Xenopus tropicalis: one gene and its partners. The main gene of each other region encodes a partner of the protein of the gene in region 2 in a complex. Links are inferred from orthologs where the notes say so. Each region holds a gene or a part of one and is shown on either strand. Other genes may lie near its edges.

The links. Proteins that work in one complex are often made in the same cells at the same time.
Region 1: eif3j (region 2) and eif3e share a complex: the UniProt entries of both Homo sapiens proteins name them as parts of the eukaryotic translation initiation factor 3 (eIF-3) complex. The link is inferred for Xenopus tropicalis from reciprocal best matches to the Homo sapiens genes EIF3J and EIF3E.
Region 3: eif3j (region 2) and eif3i share a complex: the UniProt entries of both Homo sapiens proteins name them as parts of the eukaryotic translation initiation factor 3 (eIF-3) complex. The link is inferred for Xenopus tropicalis from reciprocal best matches to the Homo sapiens genes EIF3J and EIF3I.

The regions. Positions count from the first base shown.
Region 1 is NC_030682.2:133,665,697-133,673,341, forward strand, and holds the end of eif3e (eukaryotic translation initiation factor 3 subunit E), read right to left. Parts: intron 4,423-7,645; coding exon 4,320-4,422; intron 3,979-4,319; coding exon 3,844-3,978; intron 2,254-3,843; coding exon 2,215-2,253; 3' UTR 2,079-2,214; downstream 1-2,078. UniProt on the Homo sapiens protein: Component of the eukaryotic translation initiation factor 3 (eIF-3) complex, which is required for several steps in the initiation of protein synthesis.
Region 2 is NC_030679.2:118,203,131-118,210,437, reverse strand, and holds the end of eif3j (eukaryotic translation initiation factor 3 subunit J), read left to right. Parts: intron 1-680; coding exon 681-741; intron 742-1,394; coding exon 1,395-1,489; intron 1,490-1,588; coding exon 1,589-1,700; intron 1,701-3,440; coding exon 3,441-3,602; intron 3,603-3,735; coding exon 3,736-3,809; intron 3,810-4,214; coding exon 4,215-4,349; 3' UTR 4,350-6,340; downstream 6,341-7,307. UniProt on the Homo sapiens protein: Component of the eukaryotic translation initiation factor 3 (eIF-3) complex, which is required for several steps in the initiation of protein synthesis.
Region 3 is NC_030678.2:86,498,759-86,506,403, reverse strand, and holds part of eif3i (eukaryotic translation initiation factor 3 subunit I), read left to right. Parts: intron 1-288; coding exon 289-438; intron 439-1,097; coding exon 1,098-1,225; intron 1,226-3,516; coding exon 3,517-3,627; intron 3,628-7,645. UniProt on the Homo sapiens protein: Component of the eukaryotic translation initiation factor 3 (eIF-3) complex, which is required for several steps in the initiation of protein synthesis.

The DNA of each region.
Region 1 (7,645 bases), on a different chromosome or scaffold from region 2:
CTGGCGACTCTTGTCTGTTTAATCCAATTAAATAGGTTGTTCAACTAAATGGCCCAGACCACGCGTTCCCCTTCTACACACCCTTCTTCTGCCTCCTGAGTGACCTACAGTAGCAGCCAGATAAGTTCCAGTACCCGGGGATGGGGGGGGGGGGGGGGGTGGCGTTGTTGAACATAGGTCCACTATGCCAGTCCTAACATAACATTAGCCAGCACAGATAAACAGATGTAGAAACAGTGATGGACATGGATTATACCCCATCAATGTGTCAGTATTAATGCAAATATATAGAATTTATGGGAAATCTAGGCAAGTTGTGGCAACCTTGGCAGCTAAATAGCAGAAGGCCCAGCAAAGGCCCAGTCTAGAATATTACACAGTGTTGAAAAAAAAAGTCTCTTTGTAATCTATCCTTCAGCCAGTAGATGACATCCACTGCCATTCCAGTATTGAGGTTCCTGCTCACCTCCTCATAAAAGGCAATTAAATGAGTCTATTACACAGAAAACCATGCTGGCACAAACTTATAGTACTGAGATTTGCAATGCATTCAAGTACCCTATCCCATCCCTTATTACCCCTTCCAAAAGCTTTAAAACTACTTATGTCAGACTAACTGGCCTATAGTTTTCAGGCTGAGAATGACATCCTTTTTTGAATAACAGAATCAAATTAGAAATTCGCCAATCTCTTGGCACCATGCCAGACCTCAATGAATCCTGAAAAATTGAGTGAAGAAGTTTGCCAACCACAGAGCAAAGCTCATTTAATATCCTGGGATGAATACCAGTGCTTAAAAGATATATTAAAGATGTAGACAAGATCCAAAGAACAGCTTTTAAAAGTCATGGAAAGTCTTATTTATGAGAAAAAGTTGGGATTGGTTAACTGGAGAAGATGCACGTAAAGTGATACTGACACCAAAAAATTTCTTATAAAGTATGAACCTACCTATAAGGTCATGTTGACTTTTTTTTCCTAAAAGTCCTGTTTTTCTACATAAATCCTACTAAAGATCCTGAACCCGACTGTCTGGCAACCCAACTGAAGCTTCTCAATCTGTGAAAAGGACCACGTCATAAACTGGGAGGATTCAGCTTGCCGTTTGCTTCAAGGAGCTCCCCCTCCCTCCCTCGCATAGCATGTGAACTAGATAGCAGGCAGGCTTGATCTTTCCATTGCCTGCCTACTTCAAAGGGCTGCCCCCCTTTCTGCACTTCGCACGAAGAATTAAATAGCTTTCCCGGGCCTGCCTGCTTCTAAGGGCTCTCCCTTCCCCCTCCCCATTACACATAGACAACGGAGCTGAGCTTGTCACATACCGACTGAAAGCAGAAGGGGTGTTGCAGGTTTGTGATTGGGCATATTTATTCATTTGGGAGGCATTTAAATTAAAACCCGGAATAAGGTAACAAACATGGCTGCTCCGTGGGTCTGTAATTAATGATACCATAATTATGAAGCAAAAAAACTTTGCAGATTTAGTTTATAAGGAATTTAAAGCTGATACAAATTAAAACACAACAGGTGTAAAAAATGTTTTTAAGTGGCTGTCAGTATCACTTTAAGGGGTGATATGATAATTGTATAAATATATAAGGGGATCATATAATAAATTGTCTGGCGCTTTATTCACCAGTATGTCTTTCCAGCAGACATGTGGGGTATTTTACAGTGTGAGCTGTGAAGTTGTGGAGCGGGTTGGATGCCTCTTTACCAAGTAAGAGAATACAGAGTTGCAGAAATTAGCTCTTGGTGTTGACCAAGGTTTTTCACCTTCCTCTGGATCATCTAACAAGTTGGTTTCATAAAGGCTTGATGAAGTGCCTTTTTTCAACCTCGACTACTATGTTGCTGACAGTTTGATTTCAAAGCTAAGAGATCACTACATTATAAATAAATACATAAACCCTATATATATTTGATAGTATGTGTGTTGAACAAAATGCTATGTATTTATTATATTAATATGGCAGTGGGAAATAAATTTGAAGAGCCCCGTACAATAAATGTGGTACATGAGTACTAAATCAGAAAAAAAAAAAAAATAAAAGCATAAAATAACCAATAAGTCCCAGTTAAAAGGAAGTGTACCCATTTTATTCAAACGCATGCCTTCCTTTAACCTTACAATGTGGCTTGGTTTTTGTAAGAGGAAAAGAAAGCATGGGTAACAGGGAAACTTTGAGCTGGTGTGAAGTTCAAATGAAGTCATCAATAGAATCCGGAATCCTGAGCTGCCCAGGTAGGTGCCTGCAAAATAAAAATATATATATTATATATAGGCATTGGGTCCTTCCATAATTTACATCTCCATAATTTAAGTCTACTAAAAACATGTAAGCATTAAATAAACCCAATAGGTCAGTTTTGCCTCCAATTAGATTAATTATATCTTAGTTAGGAAAACTGGTCTGTTCTTGTTAGCACTCTTTCCCCCGAAAAAACCCCTCTTAAGCTGGCCATACCCGCACCGATAATATCGTACACAACCTCGTTTCGTACGATATTCGGTGCGTATATGGCAAGTCAACCGATATCGCAGGAAGCTGCCGATATCGGTCGACTCGCCGATCGGGAAGGTTAAAAGATTTTGATCGGGCGCCATCCTATTGTTTCTACCTCCTTATCTGCCGTTTCAGCCCTGAACGGTGTGTGGCTGATTGTACGATTGCAAATCACCACGTGTGTCGCCACCTTTAGTCTGATGTGTAAAAATCTTATTTAATCATAACTTCAGGGGTGTGGCCCCTTGGGGTAATGCACTGACCTACATTATCTGGTTGGCCACAAGGTTATTGCAAAGACCAAATGGCCGATTTAGTAAAATGCCAAAAATCATTTTTCCATATCTTGACCTTGCTGTCCTTTATTTCCACTAAGAAAATGACAGAAACAGTGCAAAAATTCAACCTTAATTTGTAATAGTTTGCACCACCCCACAGCAGACAGTCAAATACTTTTAGGTGAGGGAAAAAATAAAAAAAGCTTTTAAAATCCACACAAATCAGATAAAATATTGTGCCGATATAGACTTTATCAATTAATGTACTAATGTTCATAACATATTGGCAAGCAAATTCAAGTAGAAATGGCATCTACCACAAATGCAACATTTTTTTTTTTATTTTATTTTTTTTAATTTGCTTGCCAATATATGTTATGAACATTAGTACATGAGCCATATAAGACAAGGGCAGAGACACTGCCTATTTAAAGGAAAAGTAACTCAAGTGTATCAAAGAATTTAAACTATAATGTTCGGCTACCAGACAATGGTAAAAGCAGTAGGTTTGCTTCTAAAACACTAATACAGCCCATATAAACACACTGCTGTATAGCCATGGTAGCAGACATTTAAATTGAAATAGGGCTAAATGGCACAGGTTATAGATAAGCTCTGTAAAACACCATTGCATTCTACAGAGTGAATCTGCTATGTAACCTGTTTCTTTTCACATCTTAAATGGCCGCCCTTGTTGCTATACAACAACTTTTTTACTCTGGTAAAACTTGTGTGTTTGCTTCAGAAAGACTACTATAGTCTGTATAAAAGAGCTGTTGTATAGCAACAGGGGCGGCCATTTCTAAGTGGAAATAAAAAACAGCAAGGTCAAGATACGGAACACTATTTTATTCACTTTAAAACACATTCATTTTTTGGTGTTACTGTTCCTTTAAGCCGTATCAAATCCTATATTGCTAAGAATGTTTAAATCCCAGCTCTATATAATTCTGATGTTTTTGAATATGGGGCTAGAACCTTAATCATTCTATGCCTGTGGCACGAATAGGAATTAAGCCTCACAAATAGAGCCGGGAGTGCAGAGCAAACATCTTTACCTCAGTTCTGCTGTTCTGGTTCGTTTTCTTCTCAATATTCATAGCCAGCATTTGGCTACGGAATGCAAGGCTCTTTGTCTTTTCAATCACTTGCTGATAAGGAGAGACGGCATTGTTTCCCATAACCACGTGACCCTAGAACGAGGATATAAAATATATTTTTGTATTTGGTTTATCAATATTAAACGTCAGATTTGAATAGACTCTGACAGCTCCCAGTAACACATTCCCACACAAGGTAGTATTATGGAAATCGACACAAATTAGACTTTAAAATAGAACTGCTGCATACAGAAACGGCAAGATATCCTAACCCTGCTAGCGGGTTCTACTGCTTAACTCAAACACCCACCCGCCACCTTAAATGGTCTGCAGCAATCCACAAATTATAAGCCATAAGTCAATGTCATTGCAAACAAAATGACTTCATTTGTTATGGTTCTGTCAGAATGAATGGCAGAAAATGAAAACCGTACCAGTTTGGAATCTATCTTGGCGTCCAGTCTTGCATTACGAATTAAGTTGACAATCCACCTTTCAGCTTCTTCCGGAGTCATATTCAGTTTGTCAGCCAACATGCTTTGAGGGAGAGTGGGGAGAAAAAATGTAAATTTTAACGCGACTGGATGGGATAGAGGAAAAATTATACAGTTTCATTCATAAGATCAATCTACTGATGAGAGACCATGTTGCACCCAATTATTTGCACTTTAGCAGACACTCCAAAATATGTATATGGACAGCCAACTGAAGGCTCTTCTTTATAATCTTTAATTTGTTGAGGCATTTTGGCTGGCACTGGTGCTTTGCACAGAGAATATCCGTGGTCAAAATGCCCCCTTATGGACTGTCATTGCCTCCCACACCAATGCACGGGATCTGCTCTGTCGGGCAAAGATGGCCATACATGGGCTGATAAAAGCGTTGAAGGGTGAACAGTCCGATTCGTCAGTTTATTGGCCTGGGTATAGGACCCTAAGACGGGCCTAACAAATGGGCATTTGTTAGGCCTGTCTAAGGGCTGAAAATAATCTAGATGTCGACTGGGCAGGATTCAAAATCTCGTCGGAGCAATGGGTGCATCGGCATACTGATGTGTTCCACATCACATCAATCTTATATCACTCAAGGTGGGTATATTGGGGAAAGATCTGCTTGTTTGGCGGGCTTGACAAATGAGCAGATCTTTCAGCGTAAGGCCAGCTTTAGACACCGACAGAGACAGGTAGACCCCCTTAGAGGCACTTTAGTGGTTTTAGAGTTTCTTGCATTTTTCATGGTTTAAAAAAAAAAACAGATTATCAAAAAGAATACAAACGGCCCCCTTAGAGTTGTTCGGTGTATAATGAAGTAGCAGAATTCTTAATGAATAAGATAAGTAAATGTAGGACTGGCCAGAGGGGGTGACTGTTTGGCCTGTTTGTATATATTGCAATATATGGTAAAACTATCCCTGTTTTGTTTTTAAGGGGAGGGCATTCCCCTTTGCAGAAAAACACACATTAGTTAACGGCCCCCTTAGAGTCTTTTGGTGTATAGCTTTGGTGTTACTGCCCAACACCGTTGAGTGCAAGAGAATGGACATAGTGACATTGCCCTAGGTAATAACCAGAGGACAGCTAATCTTTAAAGCCTATATTCACCTGCTCCATTTCGTATTTCGTTGCCTAAAGGCCCCCAAGGGACATTTCTGGAGTATTTGTGTGAGTTGTGCACGTTACCTCTATCCCAAAAGAAATGCCATGTTCCCACTGTCCCAAGCGCACATTTATGACAGCACTGCATTTAAGTCAGTAGCTGTTTTTAACTTTTGCCCAGACTTGCGGGAACTTTGAGATAATGGGTTAGAAACAGTGTTTCTCATTAACTCAATTAGTACCATGGTAGCACTCAGCTGGATAGTTACTTTGATGTGCCATGTCTCAGCACTTGTCCCCCAGACATCACAAGGCCTTTCATACATATATTTATGACTTTTAGTATAAAATGTGAGGAGGACATGCAACTAAATCTTACACATAAAGGAGGATCCAAAAACAACACTACACAAATCAACATATATGCATTTCCTGCCAATAATTTCCCTAATTCCCAGCGTTGCGCAATACCTGATTAAATACTATAGAGCTCCATATTCCAACGAGCAATGGTCGAGTCATCGGCTCTAGTTTTATTAGGAACTTACCGCTTCCCTGTTTCATTTATCTTTTCATTACCAAACAAAACCATGAGTAACGTGTAGACCAAATGAAGACAGTGTAACGCTCACACTTGACATACGAGTACATAAACTTGAAAGCAGGGAACTCTATATGACTCAAGGGGTAAAGCATATCAGATTTCCCAAATCCCCTTCATCTGTATGCAAATGTTGAAAACAGACATGAAAACAGAACTTCTAGAGTTAAAATTGATATTTGAAAGAGGTAGTTTAACTTTTAATATGTTATAGAACAACTAATTTTTTAATCATTTTCCTTTTACCCTTTCCAGATTTCAAGGAGGGTCACTGACCCCAACATCACAAGAAGAAAAAAAAAAGGTTTACGACCTACAATGTCTGAATTAAAAATTTGAACACAAAAACTTCTCATTAAACAAACTGTGGCCCCGATGGCGACATCTGATAGAATCGCACTAAACTGCTATGGCTATTATTCTGTCTCTTCGCGTCACACCTCCAAAATGAGAAAAATCAATGAGCTGTGAACAAAGCAGAGGGACGCGCTCAAACAGAACTCCAGCGAGAGGCAAAGTGAGCGCCCGTAATTATACAAGCTAGCACATGGTGTCCGAGAAGCTTTTAATTACAGCTATTGGGGCTATTACCTGCAAACCAGTTAGCGGCGGTGGGTTTTTTTTTCTTCTTTTTTTGCTTCGTTCCATAGCACCATATGGCAAGGAGTAAGAATATTTTAAAAAATAAATAAAATGTATGTTTATTATACAGGTATGGGATCCATTATCCAGAAAATTCCAAATTGTGGGAAGGCCATCGCCCATAGACTCCATTAAGAGCAATAATTCAGATTTTTTTTTTAAAGGATTTCCTTTTTTTTCCTGTAATAATAAAACAATACAGGTATGGGATCCCTTATCCGGAAACCCATTATCCAGAAAGCTCCGAATTACGGAAAGCCCGTCTCCCATAGAACCCATTTAATCAAATAATTCAGAATTTTAAAACTAATTTCCTTTTTCTTTGTAATAATAAAACAGAACCTTGTAATTGATCCCAACTAACATATAAATCATCCTTATTGGATGCAAAACAATCCTATTGGCTTTAATTAATGTTTTATTAATTTTTTAGTGGACTTAAGGTATGGAGATCCAAATTACGGAAAGACCCCTTATCCGGAATACCCTTGGTCCCGAGCATTCTGGATAATGGGTCCTATACCTGTACCTTCTACTTGATGCCAACTAAGTTATAATTACCCCTTATTGGGGGCAGAACAGCCCTATTGGGTTTATTTAATGGTTAAATGATTCCCTTTTCTCTGTAATAATAAAACAGTACCTGTACTTGATCCAACTAAGATATAATTACCCCTTATTGGGGCAGAACAGCCCTATTGGGTTTATTTAATGGTTAAATGATTCCCTTTTCTCTGTAATAATAAAACAGTACCTGTACTTGATCCCAACTAAGATATAATTACCCCTTATTGGGGGCAGAACAGCCCTATTGGGTTTATTTAATGGTTAAATGATTCCCTTTTCTCTGTAATAATAAAACAGTACCTGTACTTGATCCCAACTAAGATAGAATTAATCCTTATTGGATGCAGAACACTCT
Region 2 (7,307 bases):
GGGCCTGGGCAGTTGCTCCCCCCGGTCGGGTTGTGCCAGGGCAGGATCCGATGCCGGATGACGTCACAGGCAGTGACGATTTCCGGGCATCAGGGAGCCAGGAAGTGGAAGGTGTCCCAGAGGAGCGGTTGAAAAACGCTGTCCTAATGGTTTAAAATGTAGTGGATGAAGACGCAGCTTGCAGTTTTCCCTTCTGGCGTGTCGGATGGCAAAGCTTCTATATTACATTTACAGATTTTTGAGTCAGTCCCATTATTTTTTAACCCATGCAATTAAATGTGACTTGTATGATGTGATCTGTCGATCCGACACTATTCGACAATTTTCTGTGTAGTTAAGCTCTGAGGGGAATATTTATCAAGGAGTAACAAGACTATGCTCTGCAGTGTAAGCCAGTGGGAGAGATTTGTGTGACTGGGATATGATTGTTATACTGGGTATTTTATACAGAAGATGTGTTTATAACTTTTTGCTTTATATTGGGCATTGTGCTTTCATTTATGTTGTGAGAGTTTTAATATAGAAACCCTTTTAGCAGATGTTTTTCCTGAGCTTCTAGAGATTGGATATAATCATAAGGATATCATAAATAAACATGATACTTTAAGGTCTTAAGATCTAATTTGTCTTGGGGATCCATCAAATAAGTTATAAATTGGATTCATTATCTGCTTGTGTAGGATAACTGGGATGATGAAGAGGAGGCTGAGGCGGCAACTAAACAAGAAGCACAGAAAACGGGTGAGGATGTAGAAAATGTGCCTTTAGCCTAAAGTGTACAAAGCATGCTTGAGAGCAAGACATGGCTCTGGGTGGGGGGTAATGTAGGGCCTTGTTGTTCAGTGAGGGGAAGACCATCTATAAAATATGGCTGACTGCTTTGGCAAGTGTGTGCTGCTGTAGTGAATATCTAATGGTGGCTATACTCATTCTTGCCAACAGTGTTCGGCCAATTTACCCCCAAGTGACTTTAATTGCTTACCTTTTACCCTGGGCTGGTGACCCTGTTAGGAGAAAACCGCACCAGCCCGGGGTACCTGTAGCGCTTCCTTCTGTTCCCTGAGCCGGCACATGCACATTAGAGCGAAAAGCAGACTTTTTTATTAAAGTTCGGCTTCTCACTCTACTGTGCAAGCAAGCGAAGAAGGAAGAGGAAGCGCTCACTACAGGTACCCCAGGCTGGTGCGATTTTCTTCTAACAGGGGCACCAGCCCGGGGTACGAGGTAAGCGATTAAAGTCACTTGGGGGTGCCTAACATTTTGGCACCCCCAAGTGACTTAGTCTTTCCTTCTGCTTTAATTTAAAGCACTTTCATTTTAGGTGTTTCTTTAAACAAATCTGATCATATATGGCCACTTTAACTCACTGTGTAATTGCTTTGTTTTATCCCTAGTAGAACCAAAGGTTTCTGAAAAGAAAAAATTACTAGAAAAAATAAGAGAAAAAGAGAAGTTGCATAAAAAAAGGCAGGAGGAAGTAAACCAGCAGGTAAGTGCTTGAAATGATCCTATTGCATTGTGATATAGTTTACAGGCTTATATTAAGTACCATGGGAAATGGCACAAAGCTTACACTTCCTCTCTGCAGGAGAAGGAAGGAACCGCACCAGAGTTAAGTCCAGAGGAACAGCTGGCAGAAAAGCTTCGCCTAAAGAAGTTACAGGAGGACTCCGACTTAGAATTAGCAAAGGAGGCTTTTGGTGAGTCTGCCACACAATAAGCAATCCTTGCTAGCGCAAGTTAAAATCACTGAGGGGCTGCTAATTTTAGTCTTCCACATAGTAATTAAAAACATTTTAGCCTGTGTCACTGCCTCTGCTTTAGAAAACAGTGACCCTGGGAACTTAGTGCTGCACTGCTATCTCTTGGTTTGTCCCCCCAGGTATCCCCTCGCTTAGGGGTGGTGCATTGGGGTTAAACATAGGTGTATGTTATCTCTGTAATAGAGTTGCTGTCACACGTGTGCTTGACTTGCTTATTGTGAAACTGACAGCACTACATGTTACCTGGAACTTCCAGATATCCACCTCTATTCCATAGCTTCACAACTGTATTACGTACATCACTGTGTTCTCCCAGATCCTTAGAAACGCATTTTGGCCAATGCCTTTCTTCCCTTCTATAGACAAACCCAACAATTCATATTCTAGCCCCAACAGGCTATAAAGAACCTGAGAGACTTATCATTTCTCTCCTACCTAGAACTTAATAAATGCCAATCCCATAAGTCCTCCGCCCCTCCATAAAAATACTTTCATACAGCCATTTGAATGCCCAAGTATTTGTTTGGTGGCACAGCATATTATCTTACAAGGATTGGGAGGAAACTCTGACATCTGTTGGTTGGTTTCTGCTAGTGACCGTAATGCAGTTATCGATGCATGCCATGACTGCAGACCACCTTCATATGATTGTGTTCTGCCCTCTGTGGGTTTGGCTTCATACGTACCTTGGCAGTCAGGTTAAGAAAGCTTTTAGATTGTTAGGTTTTTTTTTTTTTTATTTAAGTGCGTTGTAATTGCTATATTTGTGTGTTTTCATTGCTAGTTCTGACTCTGACAGAAACCAGCTGTAGTGATGAGCGAATCTGTCCCATTTGCTTTGCTGAAAACGTTGCAAAACTGCAGAAAGTTTTCAGAATGCAGCTACTATGCGACTTTGACACAACCAAATTTTTTCTGCAGTTTTGTTAAATTCACTAATGAAAAGTTTAATGTATATTGAAAAGTTGCATACTACTACTATTTATTTTCTGTCGTCTCGGGGACACAGGTGATCTATGGGGTAATTCAAGTGTCCTGCTTCTAGGAGGTTGGACAGTCATGTCTCTAGGGATACTTGGGGGTATATATATCATGCTGTGTAAAAAGTGGAGTAAAACATTGCCGGTGATGTTGCTCATAGAAAAGCAAAGCATCTGATTGGCTGCTAATTGTTGATATCTAATTGCTAATTGGTTATCACTGGTAATGCTTCACTCTACTTTTTGCACAGCATGATAAATATACCCCTTAGAGAGAAATTATTTGGTCAGTGGTTAATGTTGACTCCTGGGTGATACCAGAAGCAGGGCTACCTGTCTGCCTCACATGGTAGCCCCTTTCTGCATCCTAGCCCTATTGCGCTATTTAGACCACTCAGGCAGATTTCAGCAGCTTAGGATGAGCAGGAGGCTTGGACAGTGCGGTGCCGAAGTGAGTATAGCACTCGGCCACCCCGCTCTGCTTGACTTATATTGTAGCCGTGTCCAACATCACACCCCAACTCGCCAGCCTGGGACATTAACTACCTGCCTTTTTGCCTGGCTTCTTGCTCTGGCACACAGGCCTGGCTCTACCTGCTCCCCAACATGCAGCTATGTTAGGGTGGCCTTTAGCACAGATATGGTCACAGTGAAGAGGGAAGGAAACCTTAAAAAAAAGTTTGTTTATTATCTGCAGGAGACAATGTTACCGTTACTGGAATAGATGCCATGAATCCGTCCTCAAGAGAAGACTTTACAGAATTTGGGAAGCTCCTCAAAGAAAAGATCACCCAGTATGAGAGATCGTTATTTTACCCAGGCTTCCTGGAGGTCCTTGTGCGGGAAGTGTGCGTCTCATGTAAGCCAGCCTCTCCTCCTTTCCAATTTCCATAAAGCTTTTTCATTCATGACTTATCACATGAACTTTGTTAGTCATTAATTTTGCCATATATTGCGGTGGCCTGAAGTATTTTTGTATTTTCCTGTTTTAGTGGAAGTGGATGACCTGAAGAAAATCAACAATTCTCTAACAGTGTTGTGCTTTGAGAAACAGAAGCAAGAGAAGGTGAGTTTATTTGGGTGGGAGGAGTATTAAAGAAATTATTTCAAGGTAATAGAAAAATGACAACCTATTAGAGGACTTGTTTCATGATGTTAGCATGAAGGTGTAACATGAGTGCCCCCTGCTGAGCGCTAAGAAGAATAGCAAATGTTTATTTTATATAGATAAGAAGCATCTCTTCATGCATCACCGCTCTATTGTTTTGCTCAATGTGACATTAGCAGGGTAGTGTTAAGCTTTATATGTTCTACCCCGCTCTTGCCATGCAGTGTAAAAGCTGCTAAAATCATGAATCATTGGTCATTGTTATAGGTAGGTTATATGCCCCCTGTAACCTGCTTCTGTGCAGGTAGAGATTTAGCATATTTTTTTGCCTGGATAAACTACAATTGTGTCTCTGAATTACAGCAACAAAGTAAAGCCAAAAAGAAAAAGAAGGGAGTTGTTCCGGGAGGAGGACTAAAAGCCAACATGAAGAATGATCTAGAAGATTATGGGGGCATGGATGAGGGCTATGGACGAGAGTATGACGATTTCATGTGACACGCTGGTTCTTTGTGGCCCTCATTAAGGAGTGCGCTCTCCTCCCTCAGGACTCTGCCAAATGCTACAGTCAAAGAAATCATCCCCCCTCAACGGGCCATATAAAAGAAAATGGCCATGGTGTGTGTATCTGGATTCTACTGGTTGATGCCCACATCGCACATTAAACAATTAACCTATGCAGCTCTATTCAGCATCCCCTTAACTCAAGGCTCGCAACCTTCTCCACTCTGCTTGTGGCATGCACGCTCAGCTCTGCCATGTTACAAACAGAGTCATGCCTCTGCTTTCTGCCTAGGAATATGGTCTCTCTCTCTCTGGGCAGGGCAGGTTATTAAATCTTTCTTTTTCTTCTGGCTCTTTACTTCCTGCCTCATTGACACTGCCCTCCCAGCCATCTTAGTTTTTTTTTTTTTTTTTTAATATATATTGGTTTCTTAGCTTTGTGCTAGAGGAATCTCCTGCTTTGAACTGTGATTCCTGATGGACTCAGCTTGGTGCTTTTCCATATTAAAACTTTAAACAATCTGAAATCACCTCTACAGTATGTGGAACTGTGAAGATGCAGAATGGTAAGGAGATACCGCTGGTGCATCAGACTATATGTGCTGCCTTCTGTTGGAGCTGCCAGTACCAAAACATGTGGGTCATCATGACTTTGTGGCCAACTGGCAGTTCTTGATGGCTCTGCCGGAGGGGAGGGCCATAGGGTCTTGATATTTATTTAGTGATTGCGTGTCAGTGTGGTTTCACGATTGGTTTATTGCTTTTTGACTCTTGCACCAAGGTTCAAGGTCTGGCCCTTTCTCTTAATCTTCTGCTCACCCACTGGATGGCGCTTTGCAAACAGGTCCTACTTTGGGAGAATTGTTATATTAACAATGAGACTGCAATGTTTGTTTTATAAGACAACTAATTTAATAAACTCATCCTTGTGACAAGATTGGCCAGTGTGCTCTCTCCTGCATAGGCAAGGTTGGCTTCTGAGTCTTTGGCAAAGTGTAGTGCACCAGGGAGCAGGGAGCTAGAGAGACCACCTCCAGTAAGTCATTATTAGTGGGTTTATTCTACCATGTATAATGCTGTTAAAGCGCAGATGGAATTAATAGCGTTGGGAAGACAAGCTGTATTTATGTACATATTAACAATGTTTGAAAAAAAAAAAAAAAAAAAATTATGCATATGTTATTTCTTTGCAGCTCTCCTTTGCTTTTGCCTTGATACCTTGTATTGATCTTTTTTTTTTCATCTTCCTTGTTGACAACTTTTATTTTTAGTTTCCTTCCCCCCCCCCCCCCCCGACTATGAACTGTTCTAGGCAAAGGACTGAGGGTCACAATATTTCCCATCTCTCATTTCCCTTATGCATTTGCCTAATGGAAATACTGAATATTTTTTTTCCTTGCTTTGGTTTCCGTAGCTTCTCTATCATGGGGGTTAGTCTGCTTGCGGTTTAAAGGTAAAGGCACAATTACTGTCTGTTCGGTCTTCCCTGTAGCCGCCTACAGCCAGTGGGGCTGCAATTATGTAAAAGGCCTGTTCAAGGGACATTATGCCAGAAACCACTTGTCTGTACAGCTAAAACCCACACCAGCATATTTAATTCTGTGTATTAAGGGAAATCTAACGGGTATATTATAGTCTCATGGCTGGATTAGATCTTTTTTACCATAAGTCGAAGTTACGTGTTCTTCACTTTCAAATGGGAGACCTTTGGTTACCTTTAAAAAGCTGGTAACTCCATGGCTGAGCGCACAATATACAGTCACTGCTGACAGAGAATCACATTACTTAAGGATTTTATTTTTCTTTGGGGGGGTGATGCATGATATGAGCAAACTAAGCCTTTATCCACACTACGCATTCTTACTAGAAATAACTGGGACAGGCACCATAAGTTCCATCTTCACTGTATTCCTTATTGGCACCAGCAGCTTCAAATAACAGCAACAAAGTGTGTGAAATGAAGTAAAATATATACATCCAACTTGTTTCAATGTTGTCTCCCTTTTTTTTTTGTTTTCTTGCTTGTTTCCCTTTGCTCTTATAACTCACATTTTTTTAAGGGAAAATATGAACCTATGTTCAACATAACCAAATCATGAAGCTTGTGTTTAAAAAAAGAAATCCATTTTTTTCCTTTTATTTAATAGCACTCCTGGATTATTGTTCTACTTATCAGGAGATTTTTTAAATAGAGACATTGAGCACTATGTAAACAACCCATTCCTTCCCCTAGGTACTGTTTGTGACTCCTGTTTAGAAGGAAGGGTTTATTATACAAATAAGTCAAAGTCCTTTGTTTAGAACCAAAGTTTCTCTGCCCACAGCCCAGTGTTAACCTGCAGACACAATAAGCAGAGAGAGAGCTGCTTCGTTGGATGGAGGTGGTGCAACCCTATAATGTGAACCATACACTGGCTTGACTCATACTGGCAACATTGTTACATGGCCTGCTAGAGATGGGCCGGTACCACAGGCTTGAGGCGCTACTGTTTAAAAAAGAAGGTTGTGGCCATTCTTGCCTAGTTATGCTGACTATTTTAGGAATATACCAGTATCATTTTAATTCTAAGTAACAATCCAGTGTATTGTGGGAAACTGATCATTGGCTGGAGGAGAGCAAACTATTGTAACGTTGTGCATATGGCCAGCACCAGCAATGCAGGGAAGAGCAAGGTACAGCCAGGCTTTGCTTTCATTAGCAATAATACTTAAGCACGACTTAAAATAGCAGCTATGGGCACTGTCAGACCGAGGACTGCATCAACTATCCAATGTTCCCTGATCTGATGGGAAAATCATATCTTGCCTCATAGAGATCTGGCCAATTTGATTCCAGATTTCTTTTGGGAAGGCCTGCCCGCAGTGACCAAATATGGGCAGAAAGGCTGCTGAATTGGTATGGCCACCTTTAGGCAAGAATATCACACTATGCTGTAGCCTTGCTTTCAATGG
Region 3 (7,645 bases), on a different chromosome or scaffold from region 2:
ATGTGCTCCTAATGTACTTGTACATGACCATAAAAAAATTGAACTTGCCATCTTAAATTTACCAACCTGAAACTATTTCAACTATCAATAATTAACAATGGGCTGGAAATTACAACAACCAGACTGTATGTAAATAATAAGTATATTTCATTCCATGTATATATGTAGCATCAGATTTTTACATTTTTGTCCCTTTAGAGAATATGCCCAATGATATCTTTTCTGTTTTATCATCTTCCTTGTAGATTTCAAGCTATCCTACTACCCTACTTTTTTTTGTCTTTCTAGGGAAACAGTTGGCTCTCTTAGAGACAAACTCAGCTGTAAGGACCTGCGGCTTCGATTTTGGTGGCAACATAATCATGTTTTCCACTGACAAACAGATGGGGTACCAGTGCTTTGTGAGCTTCATTGACTTGAGAGACCCTACACAAATTGGTAAGGCCATGGAGTGACTTAAACAATTATGTGGTAGTTACTGCGTGGTCAGTATTTAGAGCGGCATCCAAATGGAGAAGCTGCCTTTATTTTTTTTATATTATATAATACCCAGTAAAATTATATTGGGAATCCAGGTTCCCCATATAATACATTTGATGTTACTTAGGAGTTCACCATGTGGCACAGTAAAGGGCATTTCCTCTGGCCTCACTGAGGGCTTTACTCTAATACAGTTTATGCAGCAAATATCCTGATTAGATAGAAGTCGTCTTTATCACAGGGCTTTATCACGCATGTGGTAGCTATAAGTGCCTGTACCACCCTGTGTGCGTAGTAACTGATGGGAAACTGCTAATTGGTGTTAACACAACTGATATGAGGGTGAACCTACACTAAACTAGCTCTACCTATGTCAAGAACTGGGTCCAGGGGCAGTTGGCCTAAATATATACAGACCTAATGCAGTATGTGATTCTTTTTAATCTCTTTAGTATATTCCTGTTTTCTGCACACCAGTAGTACCCTCAGTTGTCCGTGCAGGTGGTGAAGGGTCCAGATTTTTTGTTGCATTAAAAAATTAACATTTATAAAAATGTTCTGTACATCACGGATAACAATTTTCTTGCAATGAATGCCCTATTATTATTATTGTGTAGAAGACAACGAGCCATACATGAAAATTCCTTGCAGTGAGTCAAAGATAACCAGTGCAGTGTGGGGACCACTTGGAGAGAACATAATCGCTGGCCATGAGAATGGGGAGCTGAACCAGTACAGCGCCAAGGTAAAGCCCAAGATGATTATTTTTAACTTTATGGCATGTACTGATTAACTGAGTAAACAGATAAGCTCACCTAAAATGATATATTTACCCTTCCAAGTACAGGTATCGGACCCCTTATCAGGAAAGCTATTATTCATAAAGTTCCGAATTACGGAAAGGCCATTTCCTATAGACTCCATTTTAATCAAATAATTCACATTTTTAAAAATGTTTTCCTTTTTCTCTGTAATAATAAAACAGTACCTTATACTTGATCCCTGCAAAGATATAATTAATCCTTATTGGAGGAAAAACAATCCTATTGGGTTTAATTACTGTTTAAGGTAGGAGAGCCAAATTACAAAAAGACCCCTTATCCGGAAAACCCCAGGTCCCAAGCATTCTGGATAATGGGTCCCATACCTTTTTTTTTATATTTTAGACTGAGTTGAGTTTTAACCAGCTGATTTTTTTTTTATTAAAGTAATGGCCTGGGGTTTCCCGGATAAGGGATCTTTCCGTAATTTGGATCTTTATAATTAAGTCTGCTAAAAATCATTTAAATATTGAATAAACCCAATAGGCTTGTTTTGCCTCAAATAAGGATTAATTATATCTTAGTTGGGATCAAGTACAAGGTACTGTTTTATTACAGAGAAAAAGGAAATCATTTTTTAAAATTTTTTTAAAAAATAATTATTTGCTTTTAATGGGGTCTATGGGAGATGGATAACGGGCTTCTGGATAAGGGATCCCATACCTGTACTGACAATTTTCACAACATGTTTCCAATTAGGGACTCCAAAATTAATTTTGCAGTTTAACAAAATTTCTCTCTTTGCGGGTTTATAAACCCTTTCAGTTCTGCGCGGTGTTTTGGGAACTCTGTTGAGATAAAGCAGTGTGTTGCTTCTACTTAGCAGAGCATCCAAGTCTTGCACAACACTAAGGGAATATAGCTTTCTTTGGTTGTGTTTAAATGCTGAGAAAGACTTGGATAAGTCCAATTCATTCTTGGTTATAGCCAAATGAGGGCAAGTCCACTAAGTTAATTCTTTGTTGCCAGCTGCATAGCCTGTGGTGACCCCTGGATATTTAGTAGGCTACACCACAAGTTTATGTTTTTATGCATTTTTTTAATATTCAACTGTAGTAATTCATACTGACTATCAATGTAATTTGCTATTACTAACGTTGGTCATACACTACAAGATTAACTCGTTTAAAGAAGTCAGCAAATGAGCAGATATTCCTACATAAGGGCTCTGGCACACGGGGAGATTAGTCGCCCGCGACAAATCTCCCTGTTCGTGGGCGACTAATCTCCCCGGATTGCCATCCCACCGGCGAAAATGTAAGTCGCCGGTGGGATGGCACACGCTGCGCAGGCAATTTCGGCGATTTGCCGAAATCGCCTGCGCAGCGTGTGCCATCCCACCGGCGACTTACATTTTCGCCGGTGGGATGGCAATCCGGGGAGATTAGTCGCCCACGAACAGGGAGATTTGTCGCGGGCGACTAATCTCCCCGTGTGCCAGAGCCCTAAGGTGGGTGATATTGGGCTTATTTGATGGCCCTGGGGACAAATAATCTAATTACTACAACGAGACTACGAGCCTTAAGAGACAGGACTGCATCAATGAGCCAATGCAGCCCTCAAACAGATGCGAAAATCATACCTTTCCTGTCCACATCTGGATAATTTTTTGCCATATGTTGGTTGGACAGGCCAATCTATCATTTTATATTCATTCGCTAATATTTTTATTAGTAATAGCAGTAGAGTGCCTTATTGGATTTTCTCCATGTGTGAAGGAAATGCCACACGTGACAAATGGTCTGCATTTTAAAACAGTAGTTTTGATTTAGTAGAACCATTGTTGGTGTTGTCAGTTGACCGTATTCTTTGTATGTTTGATGCATTTATGTGGCACAATAGGATAAAAAATAAGCACTAATAAGTTGTTAGCATGGTGCAACAACTTCACTTTCTCAAAAGATGTTTCTTAAATTTCAGTACCACACCTTTGAAGGTGTGCAGCGACAGCTGCCTAATGAACAGAAATATTAGACTTTATGGATTACTATTTAAGCATGTTTATTTATTTCACTATTGTAAGGCACTCTTATCCTTTAATGTCTACTAGAAATATCTTATATACCCATAGCAATCGCACTTTAAATTTACTGCTTCTTACAGTTTTAACAAACCGAATCAATAAGTGAAATAGAAAAAATGACTATAGGTGATTTGTGGAATAACTATTGCTGCCATATGTGCTACCAATTATATCTGATATTCTTCTTTTCAGTCTGGGGAAATAGTTAACAGCATCAAAGAGCATTCCAAGCAGATCAATGACATTCAGACATCCCGAGACATGACAATGTTTGTTACAGCATCCAAAGACTGCACCTCCAAGGTAAGGCACAATCATCTGCTGAAGCTTGGTGAATTATGACACAAATGCCATTTGTCCTGAGTTATTTTCAGGAAGCAGAATTTATCTGTCCTAAAATGTGTTGGTATATTGATCTTTGATCCATCTGTTAAATGATATCCATCAGTGATCTTGACCAAGTAGCTTTGATCCCCGCTGCAGGTAGCAGCATTTAAAATGCCATGTGTGCTACTGGCCTCCTAGCTGAAACCTATATAAATTGAAAAGTTTAATTTTTGTCTGCATGAAAACCTTTGTCAGGGTCCCTTTAGCTCATAACAGGCTTACAGATATAAGAAAACATTGGTGTAATAATCAGCAATAGTTTAAGAACATCTAGAACAGCAAATATGTGTATGCTCCAGATCTAACCGTAACTGACCTAAGCAGGATGTTTAGGTGTATGTAGAAGTACACATAAGCATTAGCATAAGAAATATCCCCCAAACTTACCTTCATGCTGCCACCAGTGCTCTAGTTAAAGCATATATGCCCCATGGTTTGGTTTGTATTACAAATGGACAGCCATGATTCCCAAATAATTTTCTCAATATCTTAGATTTTATCAACACAAGTTAAAAGAAAAAATCCATATGTGCTTTAACTGTATACAGTGTAAGAAAGGTGCACAGCTGCACACTGATATTTTTTAATTCACACTGATTATAGGTTCCACTAATAGGAACCTACAGCAAAAAGTTACTTTAGTATAATGCTACCCCACCATGGCTGTTATCAACATAAACGTAAGTGTTCAGTTTGATATGAGAACAGAACTGGTGCAGTTCAGCCTTATAGGGAGGATTACACCTGTAAATATCGTAAGACTTGGCTGTGTTTTCCTTGGCAGCTTTCCTTTGCATTTTCTTTTTGCTATACACAAATTTGTTTGAAGAGACTTTTTTTTTTTTTTTTTTAATTGTGGCTTAGCCAACTGATTGCCATTAATTGCTATCATTTGTGGAATAGTCTGCTATATTATGGTACTGCACTATCACATTATGGTACTTCTCATATCACATTGAACACTTTGGTCTATGTGAATAATAGCCAAGTTGAAGTAGTAATCTGCTAGTGGTGGTGAAAACTTGTTTTTTACACTTTTCATTATTTTGTACAGGTGCTCAGCATGCCCATGTTTGGTAGAGTTAAAAGAAGGAAAGGCTAATAAAGAGTTAATCTCAAGCTGCAGGCATATCTTCAGTTGTCTCAATAGTGCCCTTAAGTCTCCCCTTTTTTCACCTGTCTGAAGCCAAACAGGAAGAAAAAATGCTGAGCTGTGTAAAGAAAGTTCCCATAATGCCTCACTCCTGCACAGACATGCAGGCCAAGTGAACATGCTCAGTTAGTAAGACTATGAGTCAGCTTCCTGCTGATTGGCTCAGATCCACATTCCTAAGGGGGGAGTGAGTTCTTAGCATTCTTGTGGGAGGGGGGAACAGGAAAGAGCAGAGAACAGAAAGCTGCATGTCTCTGGCACAGGAATTACAGACACTACTACTTTTTTTTCAGAGAAGTTCAGCATTTCTGTAAGTGCATATGGCTGTATTTACATAGACCTTTCTGATAAAGCTTACTTAGTTTTTACCTTTCTTTCTCCTTTATGTAGATGAGTTGTTCAGAGCTTTGCTGTATTTTATTGCAACATAAAACAAAGAAACTATCCATACTGTATGCTATTATAAAATAATAACATTAATATGACTGCATTTTTTTACTCAACTGGAGAAAGTACTTTCCTGCTCTGTGTGAGCAAAAAAACTGGGATTATCTGCTTGAAGAAGTTTTTAATAACAGCTAATGGGTTCTCTGACAGATAACACTTAAATAAAAACCTCTCTCCCCACCATGGGCGTCCACAGAAGGGGGCAAGAGGGGGCACTTGCCCCCCCCTGGAAAAGTAGCAAAAAAACCAAAAACCTTACTCCGTTTCTGCACTTTCCCCTCAAGCCCGTTTTTGCTGTGCTCCGATTGGATCTTTCTTCTTGTGGATTCACCAATCAGAGCACAGCTTCCTTGACAGACAGTAAAATTGACCAATCAGAGCACAGATGCACACAGGGATCGGGAGATTTTGCAAACTGGAAACAGAAATAAAGACTGAAAAGATGAATCTGCAGCTGTAACTTTACCTGAGAACCAACTCTCAACTTTTGCTGCAGTTTTCATCCCACAGGTACTATACAGTTCTAAAGAATCACTAGCTGACATTAAATTGTTTAATTTATAATCTATCCCCTACCCTAACACATGGAGGGTAAGTTAACTCTTTCCCTCTGAAAAAGCTCATTGTGTGTTTATATATGTGTTGTTGTTTTTTGCACTTACTATTTTTTTTTTTTTTTTGTCATTGTTTTGTTCATTTATAGTTAGTTACAGTGGGGCCAATGTTGTGTATCCGTGCCAGTGTTATAGTGCCAGGGCCTGAATATCTGCCATCAGTACCCACTGCTCCTCATGGCATATAATGTGCTGGGTTTGTAAATACGGACTGCATCTCACTGTATATAATGGGGAGTCAGTACCCACTGCCTTTCTTGCTATAAAACTAACATAAACACATCTAAAGGGGTGGTTCACTTTTAAGTTAACCTTTAGTATGTTATAAAATGGCCTATTCCTAGCAACTTTGCAATTGGTCTTCCTAATTAATTTTTTTGAATAATTTGCCTTTCTCTTCTGCCTCTATACAGATTTCAAATGGGGGCCAAAAAATATTGCTCTGCGAGGCTACAATTTTATTATTATTATAATTTTGTATTACTTATTTTTCCAAGTAGGCCCCTTAACTATTCATATTCCCATCTCTTGTTTAAATCACTACCTGGTTGCTAGGGTAAATAAGACCCTAGCAACCAGATAGCTGCTGAAATACCAAATGGAGAGCTGCTGAACAAAAAGCTAAATAACTGAAAAACCATTAAAAATAAAAGTGAATTCGAATGTGAACTACCCCTTTAAGCTAACTGATCCCAAACACAAATGTTTGCAGATCCCCTAACAGAAGTGCGCGTATGAATACTTTTACTACTAATACTAAACATTTTAGGGTAAAAAAAAAAAGCACCCCCACCCGCACTTTTGTACAGTATCCCTGGGAGTCAGTGGGAACGGCAAGAGGTAGTTGGGAGGTTAACTTTTTACGTCAGCAGTGAATCCACTAAGTGTCACATTAGCTGTAGGTCAGTCTGTGTATGGGCCATATTTAGCCTCCCCTAGTATCATCCTGCAAAAAAAAAAAAATATATATATATTTATCTGTTGCAGGATGATGCTAGCTTACTTGCCCCCCCTTGGAAAATTTTCTGCGGACGCCCATGCTCCCCACACTAAAAAATGCACTTTTTCTATTTCAACTCCCTACCTAAGCCATAGGTCACAAAATGACCTGCTGTATGATAAATTACTGTTATATATACCTGCCTTCTGCTTTGTACAAAGACAACTGGTTCTTTGCACTGGTCCATTATCAGTATATTATCAGTGACCCCATTTTAAAGCTGCAAAGAGTTAGAAGAAGACAAAAAAAAAAAAAAAAACATAAAAAGTAATATTGAAGAGCAATTGAAAAGTTGCTTAGATCTGGCCATTTTACAATTTACTAAAAGTTAACTTAAAAGTGAACCACCCCTTTAAGGTATTAAGAAATGCCTTCTCCTTTAAACAAAACAGGGATTGTTTGTCCATATGTTGCAATAAATTCAAACTGACCAACTACATCAAAAACATTCTTGTGCTGGCCAGTCCTATGCTCAATTATCTTATTCAGTAAGAATTCTAGTGGTTCATTATACATTTTTCAGTTTTACCTAAGTCTTACCTGTACATACAAGGATTAAATGGTGGCAGCGCACTCCCAAAAGAAAGTCAGTGGCGCAGGTGCTATGCAATATAGCAATATGATGATAACTGAGCACTTGTGTGGCTTAGAAAATAAGTGAAAATATTTATTGGTGTTAAACCAATGTTTCGGTCCTACACTTTGAAACTTAATATCATA